Linked DNA regions of Xenopus tropicalis. The protein of the gene in region 1 purifies or fractionates together with the protein of each later gene. This does not show direct contact. Links are inferred from orthologs where the notes say so. Each region holds a gene or a part of one and is shown on either strand. Other genes may lie near its edges.

Evidence for each region.
Region 2: the proteins of sdhaf1 (region 1) and sdhb purify together in Homo sapiens (co-immunoprecipitation; 3 studies listed by BioGRID and IntAct, with this or other methods). This does not show direct contact. The link is inferred for Xenopus tropicalis from reciprocal best matches to the Homo sapiens genes SDHAF1 and SDHB.

Annotation. Positions count from the first base shown.
Region 1 is NC_030684.2:131,183,648-131,186,126, forward strand, and holds sdhaf1 (succinate dehydrogenase assembly factor 1, mitochondrial), read left to right. Parts: upstream 1-1,323; 5' UTR 1,324-1,411; coding exon 1,412-1,666; 3' UTR 1,667-1,763; downstream 1,764-2,479.
Region 2 is NC_030683.2:131,925,615-131,930,120, reverse strand, and holds the start of sdhb (succinate dehydrogenase [ubiquinone] iron-sulfur subunit, mitochondrial precursor), read left to right. Parts: upstream 1-1,574; 5' UTR 1,575-1,654; exon of another isoform or gene 1,655-1,655; coding exon 1,656-1,721; intron 1,722-4,506. UniProt on the Homo sapiens protein: Iron-sulfur protein (IP) subunit of the succinate dehydrogenase complex (mitochondrial respiratory chain complex II), responsible for transferring electrons from succinate to ubiquinone (coenzyme Q).

The DNA.
Region 1 (2,479 bases):
AGAAAGTAACAGTACAATCACATACCCTATAGAGCAGGGAGCAGGGGGTAGAACTGCCCCACATCCCAGTAGAAAGTAACAGTACAATCACATACCCTATAGAGCAGGGAGCAGGGGGTAGAACTGCCCCAAATCCCAGTAGAAAGTAACAGTACAATCACATACCCTATAGAGCAGGAAGCAGGGGGTAGAACTGCCCCACATCCCAGTAGAAAGTAACAGTACAATCACATACCCTATAGAGCAGGGGGTAGAACTGCCCCACATCCCAGTAGAAAGTAACAGTACAATCACATACCCTATAGAGCAGGGAGCAGGGGGTAGAACTGCCCCACATCCCAGTAGAAAGTAACAGTACAATCACATACCCTATAGAGCAGGGAGCAGGGGGTAAAACTGCCCCACATCCCAGTAGAAAGTAACAGTACAATCACATACCCTATAGAGCAGGGGGTAGAACTGCCCCACATCCCAGTAGAAAGTAACAGTACAATCACATACCCTATAGAGCAGGGAGCAGGGGGTAGAACTGCCCCACATCCCAGTAGAAAGTAACGGTAACAACCACATACCCTAAAGATCAGGGTGTAGAACATACAGGTTGAGCCTGAAAGAGCACAAAGGAATACAAAACGGAGCCTCTGTCTATACTGTCCAATTGCATTCTGGGTATTGTAGATATATATTAATCCTAGCTGTAGGCTAATTGTTAGATACAAACTACATTACCCGGCATGCAGTGGAACAAGCATACTAGGGGAAAAAACTTTGGCTAGTTTCCAAAGTACAAATGTGCCAAGGCTCCAAAACTGTACCTTGGTGGGGTTGTACCAGGGCTTTAAATTAGTAGCCTAATTTGGTGGAAAAACTGCCAACCTGGCAACCCTGGTTAGGGATGCAATGGCCAGGGCAGAAGGTTGTCTCTATATAGGATGATCTTTTTCCCAATATGCCCACATATCATATTTGCCGCTATGCAGGCAATTGGATTATGGACCACATCAGTGCACTGTGTACCTGTCAATACCTTGATCCAAACGGAAAATCAGACCTGGCCAATCCTCATCCAGCCAATGTGTGGCTGGATGACACAGTGGGTAGGAGGCTGTAGTTGCAAGAGTTATACTAATTAACCCTTTGCACAGATAACGTGGAGAGGTTTATTGGCCTTTATAATGTGTCCTGTACTTACTCATTGCTGTGGTATATAAATCATGAATTCCATCTTGTTTTGTAGAGGTTCCCTGGACCAAGATGCCTGAAGAAGGAAACAAATCATCTGCTCAAGGCAACACAGCGCTTCCCTCATATATGAATCAGTCGCTTGCAAGGGAAATATTTTTACAGTAGAAAATTATACTAATGTCTTTAAACTTGAACTTTTAAGCTAACATAGATGTGAGGAGGCACAATGGTTAGACACAGCAAACTACAAAAGCAGATTCTGAGTCTTTACAGACAGTTTTTACAAGCCGGCAAAGAGAAACCTGGGTTTGTACCCAGAATCAGAGATGAATTCAGAAGAAATGCAAAAATTCCAAAGACTGATGTTATGCACATAGAGTACCTTCTGCGGCGGGGGCAACGGCAACTGCAGCAACTACAGGATGCAAATACAAAGCAACTGGGAGCCTTCATCAGATCCCCAACCAATCAGAACAATTAATATGTTTTCTTATAAAAAAGATTTGATATTGGTACAAATGTAACTACTCTTTGTATATAAATTATTTATACTATTTATAACAAGTTGTTTGCTCTTACTTGGCCTCTGTATTCCTTTGGTAGGATGTTTGCAAATGTACCAACCTCATAGTGCTTTATAAACATGACCGCCTCCATAAACTGCATATTAGTGATGGCTTTTCATGTGTATTGTAGAGGAATAGTTAAGGCTAGCAAAGCTGGGCATGTCAGAATAGAGCTGATAATGAGCAATTAAATACACTACTGCCACCTTTCTCAAAGTAAAAGGCTGGAGCACTAAGATCTGAACCTTGTGGCAACTTAGCAGTAAATTGGAGTAAAGAGACATGGGGGGAATTCACAAAAGTGGAGAGAGACCTTTTTTGTAGTAAAAGTGGTGAAAAAACTGGTGGAAAACACTTTTTTTTCAGATTCACAAACAGAAATCCGCATAAATTCCGACTCAACCGCCACTTTTCCGTTTTTGGTGAAAGAAAGACAGTTTACAGACACTTTTGTGAATTTGTCGTTTAAACAACATTTTTTCCCAACATTTTCAAAATGGAGTAAAGCTCAGTGTAAAGGTGGCCACACACGTGGTGATTTCCGATCTTTTGTGCGACCAATCGGCCATTAACCGTTCAGGGCAGATAAGGAGGTAGAAACAATAGGATTTCTACCTCCTTCTGCCAATTCAGCCCTGACGGCAGATTTTGCTCAGGCGCCTTCTATGGAGCCCGATCTAAGTCTTTTAACCGGTCCGATCGGCAAGTCGACCAATAGCAGCCTCCTG
Region 2 (4,506 bases), on another chromosome or scaffold:
CCAATCTCCCCCCAGTACTTACCCAGGTACAGAGCTCTGATTCTCTGTACTTCCTGCTCCTGGGCTGCTCTCTTTCCCATGGTCAGGCAGGTACCTCCCCCTGGGTAAGTGAATCCAATCTCCCCCCAGTACTTACCCAGGTACAGAGCTCTGATTCTCTGTACTTCCTGCTCCTGGGCTGCTCTCTTTCCCATGGTCAGGCAGGAACCCCCCCTGGGTAAGTGAATCCAATCTCCCCCCAGTACTTACCCAGGTACAGAGCTCTGATTCTCTGTACTTCCTGCTCCTGGGCTGCTCTCTTTCCCATGGTCAGGCAGGAACCTCCCCCTGGGTAAGTGAATCCAATCTCCCCCCAGTACTTACCCAGGTACAGAGCTCTGATTCTCTGTACTTCCTGCTCCTGGGCTGCTCTCTTTCCCATGGTCAGGCAGGAACCTCCCCCTGGGTAAGTGAATCCAATCTCCCCCCAGTACTTACCCAGGTACAGAGCTCTGATTCTCTGTACTTCCTGCTCCTGGGCTGCTCTCTTTCCCATGGTCAGGCAGGAACCTCCCCCCTGGGTAAGTGAATCCAATCTCCCCCCAGTACTTACCCAGGTACAGAGCTCTGATTCTCTGTACTTCCTGCTCCTGGGCTGCTCTCTTTCCCATGGTCAGGCAGGAACCATGACAGTTACACATAACTATAAACCCAGTGAGAATGAGGGATGAATGGGTATTGGGGAGTTGTATCAGGAGTCAGAACCAGCAGTGCAGGGAAGGGAAAGGGACAGACACAGTGACAGTTACACATAACTATAAACCCAGTGAGAATGAGGAATGAATGGGTATTGGGGAGTTGTATCAGGAGTCAGAACCAGCAGTGCAGGGAAGGGAAAGGGACAGACACAGAGAATGAGGGATGAATGGATATTGGGGAGTTGCTCAGATTTATACTTTCATTAGGTTTTATATCTCCTTTAATTTCCTTACACTTTGCTGCCATCTGCTGGACATGGGCAGAGTTGCCCCTCACGCTGCGGCAGAGACAGGAGTCGGAGACTCAGAGGGGCAATAACCTTTAACCATTTCCTGACTGAGGCGCTGCCCTTATCCAATAGATGCCCCTGTCTGTCCTTCCCCCAATAATAGCTAATAACAGGGGGCGACCTTTTATATCTGCAGCTCAGCCAGTGAATTTGGGGGGCAGGGCCACTCTATGCATGCTGTTAGTGCCCCGCCCACAGGGACAGTTTGGCTCCTCCCACTTGTCCTTTATTGCTTTTGCTGAGGCTTTACTTACCCTTTAAAAGGTCTCTTCCCCTCACCCACCATGGCCTTATTGGTACAACAATTACCCCAGGGGCATTTATAGTAATATTGCGCACTAAATCGATGAGACGTTGCTATAGCGACTAGCGAGAGGGAATTACACAACCAGTTACTCAACATCACATGACCATGAAACACCGCCCACTTTTATTTGTGAGTAAACCATAGAGATCGCGGATCCGGGCTAGAGCGCCCCATCCCCCCATAGAGCTGAGAGAAAAGGAAAACGGACGCTCTAGCCCCGAGCTCCCTCTCTCTGAGCGGGAAAGTAACGCCTCTCTATGGTTATAGCCCCGCCGCGCTGCATTGTGGGAGGCTGGCGGAGTTACTGGTGTCAGAGGAAATATGGCGGCGGTCGTGTTCTCCTTGAGACGTAGCGGGCCGGTGTTCCGGTTACCGGGAGTCCTGCAGGTCAGAGCCGGGTCGGGAGTGGGAGCAGTGACCGTGGGGCTGTCTGTCCCGGTGTCATGTCTGTCCATTCAACTGCAGCTTATGCCTCTGCCCAGTATTGGCCCCTAGGGGCCCCAGTTCCCTCTCATGTTGCTGTCAGTGCATAGGGCCCCCCCCAGGTTCTGTGTAGCCTCTGTCAGTGCCCAGTATTGGCCCCTAGGGGCCCCAGTTCCCTCTCATGTTGCTGTCAGTGCATAGGGCCCCCCCCCCAGGTTCTGTGTAGCCTCTGTCAGTGCCCAGTATTGGCCCCCAGGGGCCCCAGTTCCCTCTCATGTTGCTGTCAGTGCATAGGGCCCCCCCCCCAGGTTCTGTGTAGCCTCTGTCAGTGCCCAGTATTGGCCCCTAGGGGCCCCAGTTCCCTCTCATGTTGCTGTCAGTGCATAGGGCCCCCCCAGGTTCTGTGTAGCCTCTGTCAGTGCCCAGTATTGGCCCCTAGGGGCCCCAGTTCCCTCTCATGTTGCTGTCAGTGCATAGGGCCCCCCCCCCAGGTTCTGTGTAGCCTCTGTCAGTGCCCAGTATTGGCCCCCAGGGGCCCCAGTTCCCTCTCATGTTGCTGTCAGTGCATAGGGCCCCCCCCAGGTTCTGTGTAGCCTCTGTCAGTGCCCAGTATTGGCCCCTAGGGGCCCCAGTTCCCTCTCATGTTGCTGTCAGTGCATAGGGCCCCCCCCCCAGGTTCTGTGTAGCCTCTGTCAGTGCCCAGTATTGGCCCCCAGGGGCCCCAGTTCCCTCTCATGTTGCTGTCAGTGCATAGGGCCCCCCCAGGTTCTGTGTAGCCTCTGTCAGTGCCCAGTATTGGCCCCTAGGGGCCCCAGTTCCCTCTCATGTTGCTGTCAGTGCATAGGGCCCCCCCCCCAGGTTCTGTGTAGCCTCTGTCAGTGCCCAGTATTGGCCCCCAGGGGCCCCAGTTCCCTCTCATGTTGCTGTCAGTGCATAGGGCCCCCCCCAGGTTCTGTGTAGCCTCTGTCAGTGCCCAGTATTGGCCCCTAGGGGCCCCAGTTCCCTCTCATGTTGCTGTCAGTGCATAGGGCCCCCCCCAGGTTCTGTGTAGCCTCTGTCAGTGCCCAGTATTGGCCCCCAGGGGCCCCAGTTCCATCTCATGTTGCTGTCAGTGCATAGGGCCCCCCCCCCAGGTTCTGTGTAGCCTCTGTCAGTGCCCAGTATTGGCCCCAGGGGCCCCAGTTCCATCTCATGTTGCTGTCAGTGCATAGGGCCCCCCCCCAGGTTCTGTGTAGCCTCTGTCAGTGCCCAGTATTGGCCCCCAGGGGCCCCAGTTCCCTCTCATGTTGCTGTCAGTGCATAGGGCCCCCCCCAGGTTCTGTGTAGCCTCTGTCAGTGCCCAGTATTGGCCCCTAGGGGCCCCAGTTCCCTCTCATGTTGCTGTCAGTGCATAGGGCCCCCCCCCCAGGTTCTGTGTGGCCTCTGTCAGTGCCCAGTATTGGCCCCTAGGGGCCCCAGTTCCCTCTCATGTTGCTGTCAGTGCATAGGGCCCCCCCCCCAGGTTCTGTGTAGCCTCTGTCAGTGCCCAGTATTGGCCCCTAGGGGCCCCAGTTCCCTCTCATGTTGCTGTCAGTGCATAGGGCCCCCCCCCCAGGTTCTGTGTAGCCTCTGTCAGTGCCCAGTATTGGCCCCCAGGGGCCCCAGTTCCCTCTCATGTTGCTGTCAGTGCATAGGGCCCCCCCCAGGTTCTGTGTAGCCTCTGTCAGTGCCCAGTATTGGCCCCTAGGGGCCCCAGTTCCCTCTCATGTTGCTGTCAGTGCATAGGGCCCCCCCCAGGTTCTGTGTAGCCTCTGTCAGTGCCCAGTATTGGCCCCTAGGGGCCCCAGTTCCATCTCATGTTGCTGTCCCATTGCCCCAGCCCCCAGTCCCTATGTACTCTGATCCTGGGGAAGGGGGTAAAACTGAATGAAACCATGGTAACCAGGGGCAGAAGGGGCTATTGGGGGGGCCCCATGTGGGAAGGTTCGTCTCTTAGAGCTCAATGGGCCAGAAAGGAAGTTCTCCCTGATACTGTAAGTAGCCGCTGGGCCCGGTATGTAACCCAGAGTACCTGTGCTGCTATTGGCTCCTTCAGTAATTAGGCACAGGGTCACATGGTCTCCGGCAGCAAAGGGAGGAGCTCAGTGACCTTGACTGTGGCCCCATCATAGGAGGCCCCCTTCCAATACCAAAAGGTGCCATGTTATTTCTGGGGCCCCCCAGAGCCAGAGCGAGTCCTCAGCCAATCAGTTCTTCTGGCCTGACAGCCCCTAACGGGATGGGGCAAAGGGTGAGTCTTTCAACCCTCCCCCCACCCTGGGGCCCACAGTGCTATTTGGTCACTTTTAGTCCCTCCGGCCAATACCTGTAGTTCAGTGAGTAAGTGCCACTGGGTATTTAGGGCGGGTAATTACCCACAGGAATAAACCATTGCGCTCAGGGGACTTTGCCCTTCCTGGGTGTTATTTTCCTTTACTCCTCGGTGCATTTACTTTCCCACTGACCTTTATTATCAGAGAAATCCCATCATGCACCATTCCCTATTAATATCACTCATTGATAATAATAATCAGTACAATAAAACATGTACTTTCCACCAATAGGAGGCAGGTGCTGCTATAAATCCCCCCGGCCTATAGAGCGCAGCATTTAGCAGACACGGCCCAGACCCAATACTGTTAGTACATCCCGGTGATCCCTAACGAGATCTAAATGACAGAATGGGATCAGAACCAAAATGCAGCCGCCGCCGTGCTGGGAACTGCTCTCT